Mytilus edulis: one gene and its partner. The main gene of each other region encodes a partner of the protein of the gene in region 2 in a complex. Links are inferred from orthologs where the notes say so. Each region holds a gene or a part of one and is shown on either strand. Other genes may lie near its edges. The genes, in order: negative elongation factor A-like and negative elongation factor D-like.

What was found.
Region 1: the proteins of negative elongation factor D-like (region 2) and negative elongation factor A-like are in contact, whole or in part, in a crystal structure (PDB 5L3X), measured with the Homo sapiens proteins. The link is inferred for Mytilus edulis from reciprocal best matches to the Homo sapiens genes NELFCD and NELFA. Residues at the interface, in XP_047296144.1 of Homo sapiens: Cys204, Gln205, Gln206, Leu207, Glu208, Phe210, Ser211, Leu214, Arg215, Leu218, Ala219, Ile221, Leu222, Asp223, Gly225, Glu226, Cys241, His242, Gly243, Glu244, His245, Thr246, Tyr247, Leu248, Phe249, Ala252, Met253, Ser255, Val256, Leu257; in NP_005654.4 of Homo sapiens: Leu23, Trp24, Ala25, Leu54, Leu58, Leu61, His62, Arg65, Pro88, Trp89, Met92, Val93, Ile96, Leu97, Phe100, Gly104, Ser105, Leu106, Leu108, Leu110, Asn116, Val117, Asp119, Ile120, Leu121, Glu123, Leu124, Arg125, Lys127, Val128.

The regions. Positions count from the first base shown.
Region 1 is NC_092347.1:88,040,804-88,053,940, forward strand, and holds the start of negative elongation factor A-like, read right to left. Parts: upstream 5,926-13,137; 5' UTR 5,892-5,925; coding exon 5,691-5,891; intron 1,401-5,690; coding exon 1,368-1,400; intron 1-1,367. Other genes in the region: uncharacterized protein, read left to right, coding at 8,721-9,503; protein FAM204A-like, read right to left, coding at 12,948-12,990. UniProt on the Homo sapiens protein: Essential component of the NELF complex, a complex that negatively regulates the elongation of transcription by RNA polymerase II.
Region 2 is NC_092348.1:83,757,985-83,771,547, reverse strand, and holds the start of negative elongation factor D-like, read right to left. Parts: upstream 5,389-13,563; 5' UTR 5,275-5,388; coding exon 5,218-5,274; intron 3,887-5,217; coding exon 3,762-3,886; intron 3,202-3,761; coding exon 3,092-3,201; intron 2,662-3,091; coding exon 2,552-2,661; intron 2,085-2,551; coding exon 1,977-2,084; intron 1,651-1,976; coding exon 1,498-1,650; intron 1,190-1,497; coding exon 1,059-1,189; intron 670-1,058; coding exon 549-669; intron 1-548. Other genes in the region: uncharacterized protein, read left to right, coding at 5,751-5,846, 13,059-13,517. UniProt on the Homo sapiens protein: Essential component of the NELF complex, a complex that negatively regulates the elongation of transcription by RNA polymerase II.

The DNA of each region.
Region 1 (13,137 bases), on a different chromosome or scaffold from region 2:
TGTTTCACCAACTTTTGACTAATTAAGTACTGGGCATCGCAAGGGGGCAGTCCTGTCTGTGTATTCATTTCACGAACTTTAAACTTTCTCTTTACAGATAAATGAAATATAAATAATATGAAACATAAGCATAGATTAGTTTTTAGCCATGTTTCTTTAACCTTAAAAATTGAAAGAATATCCCATATTTCAATTTGATATTATTGAGGAATGGTAGATCCTTTAACACAGGATTTTGTCTTTACTTAATATTCGGGACTATGGAATTTCGTTTCTTTATATTTGGGGTTTCGGAATCGGACACCCCAAACCCTCACTCCTAAATTTATAGATTCTGGAACTAAAAGACCACCAACTATTTCCAGAAATAATTTGAAATTACGGAACTACATGTACAAACGTCAAAAACTCCATTCCAATTCCCCTGTACCCATATATACTTACTCTATAGATAGAATCATATACGTGTATCTTATCTCATTCTATCCCTAGTTTGTCTACTCTTTGTCAGCATAAAAGCGAGTTTAATATTTTGTAACTGCGACTGTATGATGGTTCTTACAGGAAAGCTTACAGGAAAGCCTTTTGCAAACAAAACTGTTGCTACCGATTTGCTGATGGAGAAGGATTTGGAAGAAGACATTTATCATTGTGTTGATGATGATGTGCTACCTTTAGAAATACAGACTGCCCTGAAACAACTGAAAACTTGGAAAAGAGCATTCATGAGTGGCGCGAGATTGTGCGGTCTTGAAAATTTGGTGTTAATAAAAGTCTTAAAAAATGAAAAATTTATATAAAGTGTCCAAATTCACAACATTATCAAACTCTCTAAAAATGCCTAGAATGCAGGATTTTGCACCTATCATTTCATACCCTCCAAAAAAAATTTTCGCCTCGCTTCTCTCGGCTCAATTATTTTGCCTCACTAAAATAAGATGCCTAGCTACAGCCTTGTTAGTCATAAATTGATGGTATGTCATGTTTGTAAGACTTAATCTAAGGCAAATGATTGTGTCATGCATGCAAATTTTCACTTTTCCTTCTACTTGAAAATATTAGTACTAAAAGGTTGTGAGCAAAAAGTCAATTTAATGACCATGTGGACAGCAAGATACATGTATGATATATATCCAAGTGTTGAAGAAATTTTCAAATACATAAAAACCATTTCCTCAAGTTTAGCTATTCAATTGTTTAGTTTTGGTTTTATTTTTTACTGTCTGCATATAAACTTAGACATACACATGTATGTAAAATAATATAACATCACTTTATAAATTGTTATAATGTACATGTTTTTTCTTGATATTTAACAGATAAACAACAAAAATTTAAAAAAAAATCAAATCAACAAATATTCTTACCTCCATTTGGCATTTGGAATGTTTGGAATATCTCTACCAATTTATATATCATGTATATAATTCATATATCATTTGCATATGTCATGTGTATGTAAACAATGTATAGAAATAACATGCAATAAACTGTTGGATGCTTCTGTTGTATTATTTAACTTTAAGATCTATATATTGTAACTGTTCCAGACCATATGTCGATATGAGTATTTGGACCGTATACGTATACTCGTACGGTCCAACCATACGTGTATGGTCGGACCCTATGAGTATACACGTATGGTCCAGTTTGAGCTGACCATACATGTTATGGATTATATTGGTTAAATTTAAACAAATGTTTATCACAATCTCAATTTTTAGTTTTACAAATTTTTATTATTACAAATAGATTGATAAAATGAACAAAGGAACAATTGAAATTAAATATTTGTTCAATTTTATATCTGAATCCTATTTTGGTACTCTTGCCCAAGGTGACACTTGCTATTGTCCTCCCAAATTATGTTTACTTCCGATATCTTCAATTTCAATGATCATAATTCAATTAATGTATTACTGATCTATATAAGCTTATAAATACAAGAGATTAACAGATTTAATTATTGTGAATTTTTTATATAGTTAAAATATAAAGTTTTTATTTCAATTACAATAGAACTTTTTTATAACAATTTGAGAGTTAAGTTATGTTGATCTGTTAAATGCATTTGTATCTAATTAATTTGACCAACTTCTTGATATTAGTCAGACACGTACGGTATGACCATATGAGTATTTTGAAAAAGTACGCATACGGTCCAGACCGTACACGTACGGTCCAAATACTCTGGAACATAACTACTTTATAATCATACACATGTAATAATATATATTTTATACTTTTATTGAAGATAAATGACATTTGATGAAAAAAATCAATTACTGTTTAAAAATGTACAACTGTTAAATATATATCCTGTTTCTAATTCTATGTAGTGCTTGTCTAATTTGGACAGTCACAGAATCCCTTATCACAGCCACACAAAAATATAGTTTGCCTTTCGAAAATTTTAAAAACATAACGTGACGGTACCTAAATTGCACCTATTTTGACAGTTTTTTCACCTACGTTTTTTTATGATAAAGACGCGACAATAATGTCCATTCTGTGTTTATTTTGAAGCTGTATCCTTCTTTATTATAAAGGTATACCTATTCGATTTTTAATCCATATGGAATCATAGAAAAATTGGTCTAAACTGACCTCCAAACCATCAATGATTCTGAAATGAGGAGTACCCAAATTGCATCTATGCTTAAATTCGCATCGTCAAAAGTCGAATAACAGAGCTTTTGTTTAATTTCCTCAAATATTTTGAACAATCGGATATAAATCCATGCTTACTCTTCATTTTTTTTTAAAATGGGTACTTGTAACATATTGTATTTGATCATTTTAAAAAGATGATGTTTTGATGACGTCGCATAGCGACGTTTCAGTACATTTTGCTTTTTCAGTAAACACTTCATCTATTGATAAATACTGTGAACATTTTGTGCATATCTAAATATTTTTACCTATGTTGAAAGATGTGCATAGTATCAAATCATAAAAATACAAATTGTGTAGTCTCTAGGAAATCTTGTAAGATGTCTGCTGCTATTTTTGCTAAATAGGTGCAATTTGGGTACTCGTTGCAATTTGCGTACCGTTTCATTAGAGATTTACCATGTCTCTAGAACCAATGCATTTGTCACATACAATAACGAGCCAAAATGCAAAAAAATATCCATTTACATTGCAAACTTATAATTTAACCTTGGTTTAAATTCCTTTATTTACAATCCTTATAACAAGTTCAAGAATGTCAAGACAATCACGTTTTTTTAGTAGTTTTTTTATAAAACATCACTACTATAAAAGTGCAATAAAGTAATTTCATAAAGTTATAAAAGGTATATATATGAAAGTCATATGCATCAAAATATAATTTTATTACATGAAACATGGCCGAATTGAAGTATAATTGTTTAGTACATATGAAAGAATTAAGCAACATAACTATAGAAAATTTAAATTTAATAAATCTAGCGTACATTACTGTTTTTCATGTAACAATAACACAATGTAACCGTAGCCTCAATAATTATTGTTTCATACGTAATTAATCGGTTCCTTACCCAACTTTGCATTCCGGCAATTAGTCTCCGATGTAACAATAATATTTTTTTTATTGTTACATTTCCATGTAACCGTAGCCAGTGCCATTTATCAAGGATTTGTATCCTTGCATTTATATATGGGGACGAAAAAAAAATCCAGACTTCGTCCCCATTCCCAGGTAATGCCTGCCTCATATTAAATCACATAAAATGATATGTCTTCACTTGAAAATTAATTGCTTATGCTTTTGTGCGTAAAAAGTTTAATCTTTACTGTAAAATATGACAGGAATCAGTTGAATTTGAGCATGTTTACCTGGAACACAAATCCTGGGCGCAGACATATTGGATTGTTCTATTTCATGGGTGTGAATGTTTTAAGTTGGTGCAGGATTTGTCATTTTTGTATTGTTCACAATGAACAGTTAGACTTAGTTTACAAATTACTTCTTTATTTGTTTGTTACAATGTATTTTAACATATATAAACCGCAGGAAAAAGAGAGACTTATTTAGATAAATATTATATTTTGACACAGTTACCCCTATTCAAAATTAGATGGTCCAAAGCATATCCTGTTTTGAAACAAAAGTGAAAGTGCAGAACAATATTATATGAATATTCTATTCTTGCTTATGTTTTGAAATATACCGTCTGTATTTGATGTCTTAATATGGGAGAATCTTTTGATCTTGCAAAGGTAAACACCATTAAAAAAAACCAATAAAATATACAAAACAAGCTACTGTAACATCAGGATGAAGGGGGGTCTCATTGGGGGGTGGGGGGTTCTGATCCCGGGTCCCGCTTACTGTTTTGTCAGATTCCCGTATCCCGTTTACACAATTCTCCTATGTCCCGCTAGACTTCATTTCCCGTTTTCACGGCACAATAATTTGACTTCAACATGTCACGCTTACAAAAAATTGACATGAATCCCGCGTCACTCTTAGAACCAAATGAGACCCACATGAAGTACAGCAACAAAAGTGCAGTTCTCTATTTTTTGTGTGTTTTTAGGTGTGCAAATACTTTTTTTATGTGGATTAATTCCCTCTCATCCTTTGTTTTTCAATTTACAAACACAATATAATAAACTAAAGACTATTTTGACAGTTTTTTCACCTACGTTTTTTTATGATAAAGACGCGACAATAATGTCCATTCTGTGTTTATTTTGTAGCCGTATCCTTCTTTATTATAAAGGTATACCTATTCGATTTTTAATCCATATGGAATCATAGAAAAATTGGTCTAAACTGACCTCCAAACCATCAATGATTCTGAAATTAGGAGTACCCAAATTGCATCTATGCTTAAATTCGCATCGTCAAAAGTCGAATAACAGAGCTTTTGTTTAATTTCCTCAAATATTTTGAACAATCGGATATAAATCCATGCTTACTCTTCATTTTAAAAAAAAATGGGTACTTGTAACATATTGTAAAATTATTTGATCATTTTAAAAAGATGACGTTTTGATGACGTCGCATAGCGACGTTTCAGTACATTTTGCTTTTTCAGTAAACACTTCATCTATTGATAAATACTGTGAACGTTTTGTGCATATCTAAATATTTTTACCTATGTTGAAAGATGTGCATAGTATCAAATCATAAAAATACAAATTGTGTAGTCTCTAGGAAATCTTGTAAGATGTCTGCTGCTATTTTTGCTAAATAGGTGCAATTTGGGTACTCGTTGCAATTTGCGTACCGTTTCATTAGAGATTTACCATGTCTCTAGAACCAATGCATTTGTCACATACAATAACGAGCCAAAATGCAAAAAAATATCCATTTACATTGCAAACTTATAATTTAACCTTGGTTTAAATTCCTTTATTTACAATCCTTATAACAAGTTCAAGAATGTCAAGACAATCACGTTTTTTTAGTAGTTTTTTTATAAAACATCACTACTATAAAAGTGCAATAAAGTAATTTCATAAAGTTATAAAAGGTATATATATGAAAGTCATATGCATCAAAATATAATTTTATTACATGAAACATGGCCGAATTGACCAAGGCCGAAACGACCATGGACGTACCGGGACCTTGGCCGAAACGTCGTGTTTCCCTAAATAACACTTTACTGCATTGGAATAATTTTCACGATCAACTATGATACTATATTTGTAAGGATTGTTTTGAAGATAGAAACATGATTTATTTGATCTACCTGCTCTACATTCCTCCTCGGCAAGTGCAGAAATGACAACATTAGCTTCACTTTAACGTGTGGTTGAAGTGCATTGTAGCAAGCTTGGATATTTTGTAATTTTGCTTGGTTTATTTGTGAACATATTGTCTTTCCGGACCACAAATCGTCGGTAGAACCTAGCTTGTTGTGCAGCCACAGAGCTGTGTCACCAGCAGCCATCTTGGAGAGGCGACCGAAATACAAAATGAAAGGAAAACAACAATTGGGTGATAAAAATAGCTTTTAATTAACATAAACTTCCGGTTAAATAGAAAGTAAACACTTCGAATGTTTACAAAAAGGTAAAAGTCAAACTATCTTTTAGGCTTGTCTATTAATTGTATTTTGTCAACCACACCTATCATTGATTAATTATCATTTATAGGACAGTGTCAGTTAGTGGCAGCAAATATTGATTCCTTATTTATGTTTAATTACAATATTCATTGAAAACAATCATGTTTTGTTTACATTCAAAACTCAAGGATAAATTGAAAGAGTAACTGAGTTTGTCCTGTTTTGTTTTGTTTTATAATAAAAAAAGAATGACCATCTTTGCTACAAGTATCTTGTCTTCACTGACTGATCTCACGTTTAAGGGAGAGGGGCGAGCTCCAGTAATTTTCAGTGATTTACTATAATACAAGGCAGGCATGACCTGTGATAGGTGATGGAGTCCTTATCAATTATTGTTTATAATTCAAACATATTTGAATGATAAAAAAATATACCGTAAAGTTTCTGATGTTGGTCCTGTAGTTTCAGTTGCGACATCATTTTTGGACAGATAAATCCTAAATTATGAAAAGTCACTCTGATTCAAAACAAACAATTCTCTGAAAATGATATATTCTTGATAATCAAGATGCTTGATTTCTTGATTGCCAATATATTTGTAACAATAGGAGGATGTGTTTTTCAACAAACAATCAGCATTCTCATGGGAACAAACTGTGCCCCTCTTCTTGCTGACTTGTTCCTTTATTCATATGAGACTGACTTCATACAGGAACTTCTTAGGAAGAAAGAAAAGAAGTTAGCAATATCCTTGAACTTCACCTTCCGCTATATAAATGATTTTTCTCAGTAAACAATTCAAAATTTTTGACTATGTTGAACACATCTATCCCATCAAACTTGAGATAAAGGATACACCAGTTACAGTCAAGTGTGCCTCATATCTGAACTAACATCTAGTAATTACAATCCTGTCCCCTTTTCCCTGAATGTGACCTATGGATTTAGACTTATTACCAGGTTTGTACTAATATGAGCAACAGGAAGGGTGCCACATGTTGAGCAGGATCTGCTTTCCCTTCAGAAGCACCTTAGATCAACCCCAGTTTTAGTCAGATTCATGAATTTCATGTTGCTCAGTCTCTAGTTTTCTATGTGTGTAGTTTTTTTTTAGTCCCAGGACAATTGTAAGACAATGAATGATTGAGTTAATTAAATTTTGATTTAGATCCTGAAATAGAAAATGGAAGACACAACGGTGTTCCCCCAGACCAAAAATTTTGTTTGCCTTGTAAAACTGATATTGTTGAAGATTCAATCTATTTTCTACTTCAATGTCCATCACTATATTAAATTAGAAAGGTCCACTTTTATTTCTGACATTTTCTAAATTCTAAAGGATTTATATATTGACGGTAACATCCAGCATTTTTTTGAAGACCTATATAATAATGTCGTATGATACTGAGTCAAGAAATGAACAATGGTGAATCTGACTTGGTATTTGGTCATAATTACTAAAATATGTTTATTAGGTCTTTCCACCTTTCGTGTGGAAAGACCTATTGATTTTGTTCTGATTATTTCTTCCGCCTAATTTTTTTCTTGCGGTGTAAAAATGTTTCAAAAGATGTCGCTTAGTTTTTTTGTATATGAGATCATACAGTCTATACGCTTTTGAAACTCACCCTGTTTAACTGAACACTTTTCTTTGTAAGAGTTATCTCCCCAAACACTGTTTTTCTTGTTATCAGATCTCCTCCGCAACCGTAAAAGAAAGCAACAAATTTATTTTTCCAAATTGCTCGTTATATCCTCAGGATGTTACGTTTTATTTAGACCGAACCAATACGAAGACTCCATATGAGAGTAATTTCCCCTTTTGTATTGAAATAAGTGAAATAAATTTGTAACTGGAAAACCATAAGTGATAGAGGACTAGGGTCTTTTGATTTGAGGCCCTTGCTCAAAAAGTATGAAAATGAGGTCAAAGTCAAAGGTCAAGGTCATGTTCAAATTTTTGATTTTGGCTTGTTATCTCTTATTTTCAGAAATCATACAAGATATCGACAAAATATTTTCACACAATTGTTAGTTGCGACATGTCGTAACATGTAAATTTTACTTAAAAGGGTACGTAACATTTAATGCGAGTTTTGCCCCCTTTTATATCTAATATTAGTTGTATGGTAATATAACTCATTAACAATATAAAGTAGAGGCCTAGAGTCTTTTGATTTGAGGTCCTTGGTTGATGACCTTGAAATTGAGCTCAAGGTCATAGGTAAATTTAACGTTCTAGATTTTGACCTTTGCTTTTTCCTCTTATATATACATGATAAAGCCATGGGACTTTTGGCAAAAGGTTGCAAGCAATGTGACCTTGAAAAAGCCAACCGGAAGTGACCTTTTGTAAACCGGAAGTAGCCATTTTTTGTACTAATTTAATGTAAAAGTATATAGAACCATCTATTTTTGGAATCAGTGTCAAGTAAACTATCAAAACATACCGGAAATAACATCTTTTAAACTGGAAGTAAAAAATGATCTCCCTTATGTATATCTTTTTGTATAGAAACCATATATTTTTGGAATCAGTGTCCAATAAGCTGTCATTTGACGCTAAAATTGACATTTAAAACCAAATTTTAATATTTTCATATAAAAAAGATCCTTACTGGTGGAAAGACCATCAATGGTTCTCTGAACAATTGGTTTTTAATTTTATTTTTGTTTCTTTTGCAGACTTATTTAGACCTACATTCCACAAATATGGATTTATTTAGTTTGCTGAGAAATAATTTATCACCATCCAAAAAGATGATAAATGCAATAACCTCAAAAGATGTTTCATTAATAGAGGATATATTGAGGTCTGGATTTAATGTGAATTCTAGAGTATATGAACAAGGAGGAGAAACTGCTCTACATATAGCTGTATCTAAGGCTAACTATAGCAAACCTGTTATCGAAAAACTTATAGAATACAAAGCAGATCCTTCTGTAACAAATGATTTTGGTGTCACCTCTTTACACAGAGCAGCCACAAATGATGACGCAGACATTGCATTCTTATTACAACATGACAAAAGTTCCACGTCTATAAATGACTTCTGGGTCTCTTTCACAAGGGATTTTACACACTGGCTGCAACATCATACTGTATCACCAAAAACATTAATGATTCTACTTATAGCCACCCCAAACTTTGCTAAATATCCAGAAAATATTAGAAAAACTATGTTCACCACTGTTTTAAATGAACAGACACCATTTTATAACTGTTTGAAAGTTATGGCTGTGATAGATAAAACCTTGAGAAACCAGCAGATTGCACAAATTCCTGATGATGACGAAAGGAAAGAATTTCTGGAATGGTTAGACAATTTTAAACGTAAAGTACCAACTCTTCAGCACTGCAGTCGGATGGCTTTAAGACAAGCACTTGATAACAAATGGAATGTGATATATGGAACTGAGAGGTTATATTTACCCAAATCTCTAAAACAGTTTGCTAAATTCAATGATATTACCAGTGTTGGCTTATCAACTTAAGGGATTCTAAAAACTGCATTTAATTTAGTTGTTATTAAATATGTTAGAAATGAACACAATTTCTCATGTATAATGTTTAAAAAAAAAACAGTTTTATATGATTATTTCACTTTTATCTTTTTAACTTAGAATACTTCATTAAACAGTAAATTGTATAGATTATGTTTTTTTTTTATAATTTCAAAAGTCAGAACTAAATATCAGGATTTATTTTCTACAAATTTGGGGATCATGGCTCATTTATCCCATTTTAATTTTTAGTTACCCTTCTTTAACCTGAAGTCCAAAAACCTGATAAATTATATATCACAAATTATCACACCGCGGGTAAAATATCACGTTGTGATTGGTTTAACACCGTCACGTGGTGACCCCCTATGAGACTGTAGGGGGTTAGTAAATTTCATATGGGGTTCATGACGCGTTAATGGTGACGTCATCTATCGATGTTGTTGTGTTTCATTGTTTATTTTTCAAGCAGAAAAAGTCCAGCGTGCGATAAATTCGTTATACGGTTAACTACTGACCCCCTCCGGCCTCACCCCTATGAATTTTACTAACCCTCTATGGATCCGTAGGGGGTCAGTAGCGAACCATATAACTTATAATATCATTTCACTTCATATAAATAAAAACTGAATACTTTAAAAAAGATCCCTTATACACCAATGTAAAATTTTGAAGGTCCACACACAAATTAAAAGGTCACAGGGACTACTACACATGGATTGTTAATTTTGAAGGTCTATATATACAAAAAAGATCCAAGAACTCATGCATTAATCAACAAGTTTCAATCCCCCTCATTATTGACTTTTATTTTCATTTTTCACTGTATAGTTGTCTGATTTTATTATGTTTCATGCACATCTCTATTTAATTAAAGGGGCCTCTGTGACCAGGAAGTCTAAGTATGAACAACTGTTTCACTAGCCTGTTAACACCGAAGGTGTGAGTTTGTAACCTGGACAAGGCAGGTGCATTTGACTCTAATCTTAATTTACTAGGATTGTTCTAACAATGATTGGTGGTTCTCTTCAGACTCCCTGGCTTCCTCCACCAGTATTGACACAATGATTGGTGGTTCTCTTCAGACTCCCTGGCTTCCTCCACCAATATTAATTGAGACAATGATTGGTGGTTCTCTTCAGACTCCCTGGCTTCCTCCACCAATATTAATTGACACAATGATTGGTGGTTCTCTTCAGACTCCCTGGCTTCCTCCACCAATATTAATTGACACAATGATTGGTGGTTCTCTTCAGACTCCCTGGCTTCCTCCACCAATATTAATTGACACAATGATTGGTGGTTCTCTTCAGACTCACTGGCTTCCTCCACCAATATTAATTGAGACAATGATTAGTGGTTCTCTTCAGACTCCCTGGCTTCCTCCACCAGTATTGACACAATGATTGGTGGTTCTCTTCAGACTCACTGGCTTCCTCCACCAATATCAATTGAGACAATGATTGGTGGTTCTCTTCAGACTCCCTGGCTTCCTCCACCAATATTAATTGACACAATGATTGGTGGTTCTCTTCAGACTCCCTGGCTTCCTCCACCAATATTAATTGACACAATGATTGGTGGTTCTCTTCAGACTCACTGGCTTCCTCCACCAATATTAATTGAGACAATGATTAGTGGTTCTCTTCAGACTCCCTGGCTTCCTCCACCAATATTAATTGACAATGATTGGTGGTTCTCTTCAGACTCCCTGGCTTCCTCCACCAATATTAATTGACACAATGATTGGTGGTTCTCTTCAGACTCCCTGGCTTCCTCCACCAATATTAATTGACACAATGATTGGTGGTTCTCTTCAGACTCACTGGCTTCCTCCACCAATATTAATTGAGACAATGATTAGTGGTTCTCTTCAGACTCCCTGGCTTCCTCCACCAATATCAATTGAGACAATGATTGGTGGTTCTCTTCAGACTCCCTGGCTTCCTCCACCAGTATTGACACAATGATTGGTGGTTCTCTTCAGACTCACTGGCTTCCTCCACCAATATCAATTGAGACAATGATTGGTGGTTCTCTTCAGACTCCCTGGCTTCCTCCACCAATATTAATTGACACAATGATTGGTGGTTCTCTTCAGACTCCCTGGCTTCCTCCACCAATATTAATTGACACAATGATTGGTGGTTCTCTTCAGACTCCCTGGCTTCCTCCACCAATATTAATTGACACAATGATTGGTGGTTCTCTTCAGACTCACTGGCTTCCTCCACCAATATCAATTGAGACAATGATTGGTGGTTCTCTTCAGACTCCCTGGCTTCCTCCACCAATATTAATTGACACAATGATTGGTGGTTCTCTTCAGACTCCCTGGCTTCCTCCACCAATATTAATTGACACAATGATTGGTGGTTCTCTTCAGACTCCCTGGCTTCCTCCACCAATATTAATTGACACAATGATTGGTGGTTCTCTTCAGACTCACTGGCTTCCTCCACCAATATTAATTGAGACAATGATTGGTGGTTCTCTTCAGACTCCCTGGCTTCCTCCACCAATATTAATTGACACAATGATTGGTGGTTCTCTTCAGACTCCCTGGCTTCCTCCACCAATATTAATTGACACAATGATTGGTGGTTCTCTTCAGACTCCCTGGCTTCCTCCACCAATATTAATTGACTGCCACAAGATAGCACAATAGTATTAGTGTTAAAAGTGGTGTTTAGCATAAATCTATTTAATCTCACTGGAAAACAAATCACATATTGCAAGTGCCGACAAAGTTTTCAGTGATTTTCCTTAGAAATATTGATTCAATTGATTAATATCCAGTTGATTAGAAGGATTCCATGCATATTCAGTACAATAACTAATCAAACAATGAATAAATGAAAGAGGGTCTGAGTACATTGATAAAGAGGCTAGACATGAAATGCTGGGAGAGAGAAACCTAACATAGATGGTCAATGTTTGGATGAAGAAAAAAAAAAACACTGAAAAAAAACCCAAAATATTTCTTTTTAGATTTAAAGTTATACATTGTACTACAGTGACTTGACTTAAGTGTTTGTCATCACCTATTACATTTCATTTCAAATTCTGACACCAATGGCAATTTGTTTTAATAAAGTCTTACAGATTGTAAGTAGGCTTTATTTTATGACTTTTCAGTTGGTTAAAGTTTCTGACCAGTCGAACAGTTTGATTACATAAAGCAAGTCACATTACTGAATGGTAAATGTCATATTTTTCCACTTTGGTAGTTTTATCATATAACATTGGTATTGTAAATTGTTCCAGTCTGCACTACACAAGATGTTTATTTTTCCATGTCAATGAATGTGATCATAACCATAAGTGTAATATTATTTGATCTAGCATGAAGTATCCATCATTATTCATATCTCTTTCAAAATCCCCTGTCTGGCTTGAGATGACCTAGAGTAGAACTTTGCAGTTACAGTTGTATCACATGTTACTTTTGGTTTCCCATCTGTGTTTTTGTTCAAACCTGAAAAAACATATGTAGTACATGTAGTTAGACTGAGGAAAACATATAAATAAATAATAAAACTTACATAGCTATAAAACAAATTCAATGTATCATTAACTAGAGGCTCCAAGAGCCTGTGTCGCTCACATAATATTTTATTTACAC
Region 2 (13,563 bases):
GATATCTCAAACAACCAGTGAACAATAATGAAATAATTGTTTCAAAAAAGAATGAAAAAGTCAAGAAATAGTCATATACAGGTGCATTTTAAGGAAATAAACAGAATATTTTTGCAAAAACATTATGAATCATGTGTAAATAGATATCCCTATGAGTTGTCTTTAAATTTTGTAAACTTCCACACCTTAAGAACTAAATACAATCTAAAATTCTATGTTTTCCTTTTTTCAATATTTTTCTTTGACTTTATATACACCTTATCCCTATTCATTACAATACAGATAAGTTCTGAAATTACACAACTTGCTCATCTAGTTAAAGCTATCTGGGGGCTCTGTTTTAACAATGTACAGGGTATAAAACTTTCCATAGTTACATGTTTAAACCATTGTAAATACGTCAAACTAAGCAGTAATTTATTTTAATTTGTGTTTTTCAAAAGTAGATCATGAACTATCAAAATGTTCTTTTTTCTAAACTTTTTGCTCCCTCAGCTCCTTACTGACGACCTTTGTGTTTCGGAAAAGAAATGTTTAATGATACATACAATGGTAATATCTGCTGGATTTAAAGCATTCCTTGACAGCATAGATGATAAAGCTTGACAAGCCCTGGGGTAGGCTGCTGCACCACTCAAAGCTAGCGTTATAGGTGTTACATCCAATCCTCTGTCATCACAATCATATATATATATATATTATTAAAGTAGTAGTGTAATAAATACAAATACATTATCAACGAAAATCTTAGTGAGCAAAAAAAAAATATTTATTAAGGCAGCTTACACCTATACAACAACAACAACAACAACTACAACCTATGATTCATTGCAAGGACTTTGGATATAATTCATTATGATTTTTGTTGCTTGAATGGAAAAAAGAGAAATCAATTCAATTCTCCATAGTTAACTTTCCACTAAAAATTTATATGTAACAAATGTGCACAAAATCAATTTAATGATAAAGTAAGTCTTAAATCATCACTCATGGAAAAAACAATAGTTTCAAATGTATTTTAAAGTATTCAAAAAACATTAATTGTTTTTGTTGCTTACCTTTCATTAGCAGATTTTTGTAATTCCTGGCACAACCTTCTGATATTAGATCCACCTTTTGGTTCCTGTGACAATATCTGCATTAACACTTGACTGTATAGGTAGGTATGTTCTCCATGACAAACCATTTTCTAAAACAAATACAAAACATAATTCAGCATATCAGTTATTTTGTAATTGTCATCAGGCAAGTAATTTGTAATAGATAAATGTGAGAAGGGACAAATCAAGAAACAGTGCTCCTCTAGTAAGGAAAACAAATGTTCAAGGCAAAGGATAATACTGTCACAAACTCTGACAAAATTTTTGCCACATATTCTATTATTTAAAGAGTTATAGTTTGATGATTTTTTTAAAATAGAAGTACAGTTCAGAAAATGTAATAAATAACAAATAATTGTGTTTTTTTTTCTTTCTTAATAACAATTATAATTCTTACTGTAAATTCTGGGAGATTTTTTTCTAACAATTCTTCTCCTCCATTTAGAAGACTAGAAATAGTGGTCCGTAAAACTCTGGAGAATACTTCTATCTGATGGCAGGCTGTGGAGACAGAGGTTATCTCCCCTTGGAATCCTGCATCTGAGATAAGCTGGAACAGAAATTAAAGTGTAAACCACAGACAAGATACAGTGGTCTATTTAATGACATGCTGTAGAGACAGAGGTCATCTCCACCTAAAAATATTGCATCTGAGGTACTGGTACACTGTTACAGAAATTTTAGCATCAGAAATACAGTAAACAAAAGGCATGGTTAAATTAAAAAAAAAAATGTATTTGCTATAGATTTCATTTACCGTCAGTAAATAATTAAGATTGTATGTTATTATTAGATATTTTTACTTGAAAAGAAGACATTTGGTTTTATGTAATACATATTTTGCCTACCTTTATACGTTATAGATATTTTGCCTACCTTAACAGTGAAGTTCAACATTAAACAATCTGGATATTCCTCTGCTAATTTGTAAAATAATCCTCTCCATGTGGGGTATTCAATCATCTCAGCCAACCAAGAGGGAGTCTACAAAATACAATGAATTACAATGAACTTATGTTATCTACAAAATATAAAGTCACTTGAGGTTGTTTTAATAAAATAATGTCTTGTTTTGTCATATACTGGTACATGTACATGTATATGATGTAAACTATTTAGGGTCACACTAGGAATGGTTATAATTATGCTCATCATTTGGATATATGATTAGTGCATGATATAAATTCTTTAAAAATCGATTTTAAGAGAATGGGTTAATTCTTCTACAAGTACTTTCTATATACATCTCTATAAATTGTCTATGTGAGAAACATATTCATGATTATCCTTAATAACAAATTAAAGTGTTTCTGATCTGGTTAAAGTCTTCATGTAAGACAGGAATATTTGGTATAATTAATAACATGGATATACATGTATGTGACTACATTTAATTTTCAAGCAAGAGAAGAATAATTGACATTGGTCTATTTGATAACTTAGAATTATACCTCTCCTTCATCTGTAAATATAGAATCTGCTTTCTTTGGGTCAAAATGTTTTATAATCATTGTCTTTAAATGGTTCTCTACCATTTCTTGTACAACTTTTATATCTACACCTAAAAACAAAAAAATCATCTGTTATAATACCTAAAAAGGTGTGATAAGAGAGAAACCATTATTTTGAGAATTGCATGATTATTTTTTTTTTCAAGTATTTTTCCGAAAGTTGGAGATTGATAAATTGAACAGAGGTTGTTTCAATAAATTAAATTACTCAGGGAGTAAATTTCATAAAATTTGACTTGTTTTTAAGAGAATCCTATGTTTGATGAATAGATGACCGTACTGTTGAGATCTAACAAGCATATATATCAGCTGTTGTTACAACAATGTCAATCACAATTTTTCAAAAAATAATATGAATATATGTGGTATGATAGCAAATTACCAAAAAGACAACTTCCCAGCAATTACCAAATGATACAAATATAGGTCACAGTTCTAGTCTGTATGTTATGATAAGGAACAATTAATAGTTTCACTAACCAGCCTGAATGAGCCATTCTGCTAACAAATTCACAGTCTGTGCAACAGCTTTGTAGTTTTCAGATAGTAACTCTACGACTTTCTCTGGTGAACCTCCAGCTTGTAAAAATCTGTTTAAAATGAAAAGTATAGACAATTACATAGGATCTCCTGAACTCTTTCCCAGCATGAATAAAGTTTAGTGGTAAAAATCACTGGCTCTATGCTGTAACAAATCCTATCTGGTAATATAATAACTAGCTTTTTATATTAACATGATTGATACTATTTAAATCAATCAATCAATTTACTGTCATGGCAATGGACTGTTATATTTATCTTTTCAATATATACTGGTTAATAAAATCATAACAGTGTGAACTGGCTGGTCATTATTGCTTATGTAGTTTTGACACGCCTACAAACATGTAGCTATTGAATATTCATGTATTCATGTGTTGATGCATGTAGATAAGAACAACATGTGAAGCCCAAAAACAGATCTGTAGATTTGTAGCGTACACGTTTATATGTAGATATAGAAATAGAAAATAATAACAGATATATAGTGTTTTAAAATTGTTTAAAAGCCAATCAAGTAAAAACAAGGATCTATCAAGACACTGTCACTGCATCCAATTGCAATGATATCATTGGATATGTTTATGGTAAATTAACAGATGATATTTACGTTTTAAGCATGTTAAAGACTCCTGGTTCCATAATGAAATCACTGGCGGAGAATATTTGCAGACATCCATCTTGTATGGCTTGGTTCTCTTCTTCATCTTCACCATCCATATCATGGTCAGACATCTACAAAAGATACATTCTAGTCAAAAGTTACCAAAGAGATATTCAAACATATTAGTAAAAAAAAAAAACTTGTTCTTTAATTAAGCTATAAGTTTTCTTGTTTTCATTGTTTAAATTCTATCATTTCATGGCCTTTCATAGCTGACTTTGCGGTACATGTACATGCTTTGCTCATTGTTGAAGGCTGAACAGTGACATATGCTTGTTCATTTCTGTGTCATTTGGTCTCTTGTGAAGAGTTGTCTCATTGGCAATTATACAAAATAATTCTTTTATTATAACAATACATAGAAAACCAAAGACTGAGCAACAGGAATCCCACCAAAAATCTGGGATAATCTTATGATTTTTAAGTGCTCCTGAAGGGTAAACAGATCCTACTTTACATGTTACACGCTTCATTTATCTTGTTTCCCATTTAAATCTGTCAATTATATTTTAAAAAGATGACTTTAACAAAGTTTTATGAATGAGCTGTCCTGGTTAACCTGGGGTCATTTAGTCTGAGATTACTCTGACGTCCAACGGCTATTTTGCCAGACAAGCTGGGGCCGTGGGACGTCAGAGCTCGTGCCATATCAAAAAGTGGATATTTTCCCACCCAAAATAGATGCCCTGCTTCATAGCTTCTGGTGCCGACTGACGGCCTTGGAATTATATAAATCGGGCATCAATCTGTTCCTTTTTCATTTATCTTTTCATATATATGTAAGTTTCACCTACCTGCCAACCTTTATTTTTCCATATTTTAACAGTTTTCACAAAAACCCATTGATTTCTGCATTTTGACTTTCACTTACATAATTATCTGCCAATTTTTATAATTCCAAGGCCGTCAGTTGGCACCATAAGCGACGAAGCAGCGCATCTACTTTGGGTGGGCAAATATCCGCTTTTTGATATGGGACGAGCTCTGACGTCCCTAGGCCCCAGCTTGTCTGGCAAAACAGCCGTTGGACGTCAGAGTAATCTCGGACTAGGGGTCATTTAGCATGTTTAGGGTTTTGACATCCTACATGTTGTCTTGAGAAATATTAACTTGATGTGTTTGTGCTTCTGTTATTGCATAAAATACAAGGTGACAGTAACTTGTCTTATAGAAGGGGAAAAGATAATTTGTTTATTTTTATTTTTCAAACAAAAGTACATGAGAGCTTGTCAATGGTTGAATATGATTGTTAATAATAAAAAAAAAACAACGTAGGCTCTCAAATGCTCTTGAGAATATATCATAAATCTATTCACAGAGGGTATAATAAACATTATAAATATAGACTATAGTATGGAGGCATTCACAAATATTGAAATCAACAATTTTATAGATCAGTCACCTCTCCGCCTATTTCCTCAGGATCCCACACCATGTCTTCATCATCCAACTCTGACATTATAAATTTAAATGCGTTTTTAATATACTGTCAACAAATATATTATAAATCTACAAAAATAAAAAAACACCAAAGTTTGAAGACAAAAATCTACACTGAAGTGTTAATTTTCCTGTTAATTAATTGTGGAATATGTAATTCTTTTCAACATAACATTGAATTTTATCAAAATGATTAACAATAAATCTATGTTTTTTTTTATAAATAATAACAAAGAATGATGATTGATATTGATGCATTTGACCCTTAACATACAAAAGATAGAAATGTAACATAGAATGAACTCTTTATAGTTACTTTCCCAAAATTATGGGTACACCCAAATTAATGAAATAAAGCTGATATCAACATTGTAAATTTGTGTTTTTCAAAGTTTACCACTTAGTTATTTTGCGACAACATTTTAAAAACTTCAAAAGATTTTTGAATACATGTTGTTTAACAGTTTAACGTTTCTTTCCATTGTGTAACTGATTATGATTTTATGTTCTTTCAAGGGGACCTTTCCAGGATCGACAGACTTAATTTGTAATAATCATCTAAAAGAAAACTTTTCAGTTATTTTTTTACAAGTTTGTATGATATCAATTTGCTATTTTGTATGCATTTCCATATATGACAAGTTGTCAGATTATTATAAATCTCATTATTTGTTCAGAATGCAGAAAATCTTATTCTCTTCGAGAGAAAAAAATCTCCCAGGATCTAAAAAATTGACAAAATTTATGGGGTTACATGTTAGTTACTTGTTGATGAATGTCTTTCAGAACCATCATGCTTATAGACCATCCTTGACTTATCTGACATGTTGGCTCCCTTGTCCAGTATATAAAATGCTTCGAAAAGAAATCAACTATATATTATTAGTTACACAGTGTGCAATTGTCCTAATACGAGAATTTATCGGGTCAATAAAATTCATATCGGGTGAGGCGAAGCCAAACCCGATATGAATTTTATTGACCCGATAAATTCCATATTAGGACAATTAAACACTGTGTAACGAATTATCCTGGTTTTGTTATATTACATAAATTCAATATTTGTACAATAAGGCCAAAATAAAAAGATTGTATGTTTGCCCAAACGCGACCGACCCAAAATAAACCCGCCGACTCAAATTCTTTTTTTGACGTTTTTTGGAAGAATTTTTTTTTCGGATTTTTTTGGGGTCCGCTCCGTCATCGTACAAAACTTAATGTTTGTCGTCTTTGCGTTTGAAAGTAATTGTGAATAAGATTAAAAGAAAGCGTATAAGAGACGCAGTTAATCGATATTCGATGTTCTCTGTATTTATCTTCTGATTTAACGAACGTAAAGAAGTGAAACATGTGAAGTGGCAGTTTTTTTACGCTGTAGTTGTTTGTACTACCAAACCCTTACCTATATGCTCAATGTTAATTTCATCGTGTTATCGAATATCTGATAAGAATATTCAGGTAGATTTGTTCAAAACCATGTGCAATCGAATATTTTCAATGTTATTCTGACAGGAAATGGATCCGGAAGTTGCGAATTTACAATCTTGCAAGAAGATTTTGTTTTTACTGAATAAAAAGGAATTATTTCTTGATAAATTGTTGTCTTTAATTATAATCTTCCTTTATCATGTAAATTAGATGTCCTTTTATTCAAATACTTCAAATTTACAAGTCTCATTAGACAGTCAGTACGTTGCTGTTTGGGAGAATTTGATAAAACTATAATTGCTCACAGAATCAGAAATATAATCTTAACTGAATGTAACTCCTTCTGAATAATTTATTGCAATATAAATATAAATCCCTTTTGACAAGAGAAATTTGACTTTTGTCAGAAATATTTTTTCACATGTGCAAAAGTAAAAACATGTTATGGACGCCATATTGGATTTTTATACAATTTGCCAGACTTAACTAATCGATCAGATCGGTAATCGAACACTAATCGATCATATTTGATCAGTACTTGAAGTCATCGATCAAACTCTCTCAGGAGTTTGATCGATTAGTGATTGATTAGATTACTGATCGATTTAAGACCGATTACTGATGGATTAGTGATTGATTAATGACAGATTAGTGATTTTATTATTATTGACAAAACAATGCTCTTCCAGAAATAAGCCTTATGAAAGGCATCATTTGTGAAATAAAAATTCCATGAAAATATTTTCACCATTGCCAAAATTTTCTGGAATTCTAGAATTTAAAATCATTTCACTGCTAAGAAGATACTGGAATTTTTTTTCATGATGTTGTCAATGTGTCTGGAAATTTGAATGTAAAGATTAGAACCAATACCCATGCCAGACATCAGTGTTTATTTTTAGGTCTTGAATTCATGTTTCTGTCTAAATATGCCAAAAAATCCAGGATTTACTCAGCAATACATTTTTACACAATATGCAGTCGTAACCAAGAGAAGCGTATCTAAAAGCTTAGCCCTAACATATTCCTGATTAAAAACTACATTTTTGTAGGTTTACCCATGTATATTGGTACAATAACTGTGACGTCTTGAAAGGCTATTTTAATTTTTTCTTTTACAAACTTTCATTGACGGAAGGCGTCAAAGCAAAATTTAAAAAAGCCATCCAAGATGTCATAATTATTGATATAAAAACTCTAATTTTTATATGTGTGCATGTAACAAATTTGGTTGTAGAGGGGTCTAAATACAGCACAAACTACATTTTCCAAAAGACCGGAAGAGTGAAAAAATAGATTTTAACAACAACATTTGACTTGAATATAGTAGTATATATATCCTTCCATGGTTTGATAAATATTTGATGCCTTTTAAGTTAATGACCTTTGTTAACACATCAAAATTAATTTTTACATATAATATTAGCTTCAGACACTTGTGATTTTATTAAGAAGATGAAAATTTCAACCAAGCTAATATATATTAAAATCTGTATTTTTCATATATACGGATTAATCAACACAAATAAATTGTGCAATTTGATATATCCTTAACTTTATGATGAAATTTAGGGTTTGTCCTATAACATTATTAACTAATGCCAGAATTTAGGTCACAACTAAATAGCCAGAACATTTACCAATTAACAGAAAATTGATACATCATTTATTCAAACACACTTGTTTGTCTTCACAGCAGGATATTGTCTAATTTCCCCAATATTGTAGAAGACTGACCAGAAATTACCAGCTGTGGACTATGACTCTACTAAGGATTGCAAAATACTGATAAAAATAAATAGATTTTTATCAGAGTCAGTGGAAAACTTTCTATTGACTTTTGAATTTACATACAGAAGATCCCCCCTTTTTTCTAAAATTTTAAAATAGTCCTAATGCAAGGCAATAGTGGTTAGTGTTTTATTTTCACACGAAAGCATACACATCTAAAGATAAGTAGAATGAATATGAATAAGAAATTAAAGATGTTTTTAAATAGAATTGAGTATGTGCCCGTCACAAGTCAGGAGCCTGTAATTCAGTGATTGTCTTTTTTTATTATGTGTTACATATTTGTTTTTAAATAAATAAGGCCGTTATATCCACCTATGATTTGTAGTTGCATAGTGCAACTACAAATCATTGTTCTGGCCTTTCATTGAAACTGTGTAGCAATGTTTAGAGTTTTTCTATAAATATGGTGATTAAAGGGAAACTTTCAGCAGAGACCACCCCTTCTGTTTGTCATTTTTTTATTACTGCTTTTAATTTATTGATTTTTTCATAATTTTGTAAAATTTGTTAATTTGAATTTAGATTTATTTTTTTTTAATTGCAGAGTTCACGAAATCTTTTTTCCCCTGGTGGTCCTTGGAGAAAATCTGCTGGTCCTCATTATCAATTCTATTGAAAAATACTAAAATTGTGTCAGTCCTATGCAAAATTTTGATGGTAAAATCCAGAGGACCACCTCTTTTCACGAACTCTGTTTTTGATTTTCTAACTATTTCATCCTATTTTAATAAATGTTGAATTAAGTGTTTCCTGGTAGAATTTTGTCTTATAAGAATTTCAGTTTACATGTGAGGTTTACATGATGATGGTCATTAATTAGTTCTGCACAGTGAAATATTTTGAAGGAATTGTGACTTTCATACAAACTATTTTATAGGTCATTTCATTAATTCACCAATGTTCTATTTCTTTTGAATCCTATGGATAGGTTTTAATGGGATATGATACACAATGAAGCACTTATTGAAGAATCTGTTTTAATAAGATGCCAGAATTTCCTGAATACTTTTTGAAGTTCTTCTGCTTGAGGATGATAATATGTAAATGATACATAACATCTATTTTAAACTTTTTTCTTTTTCTTAATTTTATCTTTTCTGTCATGGAATTTAATAAAATTTGTTTACCAATTTCAGTTAATAAAATGGTTTTTCAATAAAGAGTTTTCTTTCTGGTTTGTGTTTCTATGTAAATGAATACCTTTGCCTTTAATATAGGATTTAAAGTTCCAAATGGGTTGGTTTTGGGTTTTTATGAAGATGTTGAAATTTTTCTGTATTTTTTTTTATAGCATTTCATATCTTACCAGTATTTTCATGTGTTCGTCTTTGAGGATTTCAAGGTCTAGAAATTTTATGGAATTATTATTGCATTCCTTTGTAAACTTTAGCAGGTAGTGTTGTTGAATGAATTGAGTGGTAGGGATGAGCTGGTCATCATGGTCACTATTTCAAGCTCTATTACATATTTCATGATAAAATCGTGAAATTTAGATGGAGGTGAAGTTTTCAACTTGCCTGTTTATATCACAAGTGTCTAAAACTAATTAGATGTCAGAATCTTTTGATGTTTGATAATGTTTCCAATAGTGTGGTCAAATCAACTATCTCTAAATCAATTTTCCCATACAATCTTACCAGCTATTTATTTGCTGTTTGTGCTTTTGATCCTATTGTTTTGACATTTTCACCTAATTAACATTAACAATATATAATAATGAAACATTACATTACTACAAATGTATCCTGAAAAGAAATTCTGATGTGTTTAGAAAAAATAGCAATGTATCTTTCATCAGTTATATACATGTATACTTTAGATTAATCTTATTTTCATAAAAAGAAACATTTTATGACAGATATACATTTTTGATAAGTAAAAAATATGATACGGGAAGGGTTGGGTAAGTGCTGGATCCAAATTCACATGGAAATAATGTTGTAGGTCATATCTAATTATATAAACAGTAGTCCAAATAATTATGACATCTTGGAAGGCTATTTTAAATTTTGCTTTGACCCTTTCCGTCAATAAAAGGCGTAAAAGAAAAAAATACAAAAGCCTTTCAAGACGTCATATCATAGTTTTTTTGGACCTAATATACATGGGTAAACCTACAAAAATGTAGTTTTTAGTCAGGAATTTGTTAGGGCTAAGCTTTTAAATACGCTTCTCTTGGTTACGACTGCATATTGTATAAACATGTATTACTGAGTAAATCCAGGAATTTCAGAAAATTTTGGCAATGGTGAAAGTATTTTCATGGAACTTTTATTTCACAAATGATGTCTTTCATAAGGCTTATTTCTGGAATAGCATTGTTTTGTCAATAATAATAAAATCACTAATCTGTCATTAATCAATCACTAATTCATCAGTAATCGGTCTTAAATCGATCAGTAATCTAATCAATCACTAATCGATCAAACTCCTGAGAGAGTTTGATCGATTACTGATCGATGACTTCAAGTCATCAATCGAGTACTGATCAAATATGATCGATTAGTGTTCGACTACCGATCTGATCGATTAGTTAAGTCTGGAATTTGTGAGGAAGCCCCTAGAACCATGACCTAAAAATAAAGTCTTCAGAAAACGTTAACTTTATGCAATTTCATTTTATCAATAATGATTATTTTCAAAAATTTAGTTTTTAGGTTGGAGATTCTACAGAACATGCTTTGATCTATTTATAGCCAAATTAGTTTACCTGTGTGATAATGTAAAATATAAATTTGTTTTCAAAACATCAAAAAGACACAAACTAAGGATGGTAGATAATAATTCATATAAATATTTTAGGACATTTAATCTATTTTAATAGAAATAGGATTTAAAAACTGCAAACTAATTTAATCATTACATAATCAGCTTCAATTTTTTTTACACAAACACATGTTGATGGAACTGTTGAAAATCACTTCACAAATCCAACAGCCCTTTCACACAGTTAGCAATTGTCAGGGTTATAAACATCTCAGGAAACAAATCATATAGTAGACTAATTTATTTATAGAGGTTTTAAATTCATGGCTATTGGTTGTCTCTACAAAGGTTTGACAGAGAAAAAAAAAGATATACTGTTTTAAGATCTTTTAATATTTTCATGCAAATTCGGATAAAAAAAAAAAAAAAGAATTTGCCTACCTACCTACCCACACCCAGTCATCATGGGTCGGGTTTGGGCAAACTGAAATATTTTTAATTGTGGCCTAATGAACCAAATATATTTAAGATATTTAATCTAAACCTGTTAAAAATTTAAAATATTAGAACTATAAAGCAAATCTTTTTTTTATTTTTTATTAGGTCAATGGTATAAGGGAGATAATTCCAATTGACATAATAAATAAGGGAGATAATTCCTACTGACATGACTGACGTAATAAAAAAAATGTACTGAAATTTATTAGGACAATATAAGCCAATCAAATTGCGAGAAATTACTCTAAATCAGGATAAATATATATATTCTACCATAGTCTAAAATCAGTCATCTTGTTAGTTCGTTCGGTATTTGTGTTTTAACTTATCACACGGGTAAACTAGGCATTGACATCACTTTCCTTCTACCCTCGTACAAAATTAGTGCAGAATACGTTGTTTCTACTCTTTTAAATAAAAAACATTTCTAAAGAGATGTTTTCATTGTTATTCTAAATTAATAATTAATAATTGCTAAAAAATGCCAATTTTCAAAGGATGATTTCGACAACAAAAGTAAGCGTTTACACCATTGTGTAGAAAAATCAATTCAGATTTATGACATAACAATTTTTAGTGAGGTTAGTGAGGTTGGTAACTTGAGAAATCGGCATATTATGGAATTTCGCTACGGCTGACATTTTTCAAAATGTTTAGTTAAGTACCTTATGTTATATTAAAGTATATAGGGAAAAAAATATTTCTGAGACAAGTGCCTGCGTAAGAACTCTATAAAATTAAACAGACTAAACTTCATACTTCGACATTTCAAATTTGAAAGATCCAAAATCAATCAAAGTCACATGCACATATAAGTGGACTTGCATAACATTGATTTCTATCCGACACAGTGCATATGTTTAATTGAACAAAGATAACAGAAACTTTCAGACGCTGATTAATGATATTCTTCTGCTCTATAACATGTACAATGGTTATATTAACATGAATTCTAGAGTGTGGTTGGCGCTCTCATTAGATGAGAAAGTCAATCATCAGGCTGATTTACTAAAACTAGAAATAGATTAATCACAATTTAATTATGAATGAAAATTTGATGCACATTCATTATAAAATCATCATCATTCATAATTAAATTGTGATTAATCTATTTCTAGATATTGCGAATTCAGGATTTAGATATTTTAAGTTCAGGCCCTTGCAACATGAAAGAAGGAGTGATCAAATGGTTAGGGACTGAATTATTCTAGTAAGCATAAAGAAAGATAAATTTAATTGAAAACCACATGAAATCATTGCTATATCAAATTTACCTTTGAGGGATACATGTGTATACTAGCTAGCTAGCCTTCAAGGTATTCCATTATAGATTTTTTTCACTTACCGGTATGTTAAAGATATTTATCTTTGTTACAGGAAACTGAGGCAATGGAATTATCACAGCTGATGAATCTTAAGAGATTTAACTTTAATTATGTCATATTTATTGTACTGTGTGCGATAATAGCCTATGTTTTCCGAGCTGGTGATACTTACATAATGAAACCAGTATGGAGAAAAAGAGTAGAGCCTCATTACTATATTAACAGAGACTATCCAACATTAGAGGACAGGTTACCATCGCCTATTATTACAGATTTAGAAGGTGATGGTGTTAATGAAATCATTTTAATATCTAATGACTATAAGTTGACGTCTCTAGCTCTTCCAGATAAAACAGAGGATGAAGATGATCTAACATTACCGCATGTTGTTGTTAAAAATAAAATACAGTTACCAATAGCAACCAAAGAAGACGGTGGAACAAGTAGACCTGTTGTCATGTCTACAGGATTTACTGTGTCTTATCAATCCATGATTCAGATTAGGAAACAGGTACATTAGATTCGTATTTGCATTTCGGGATTATGTAGAAATAGGT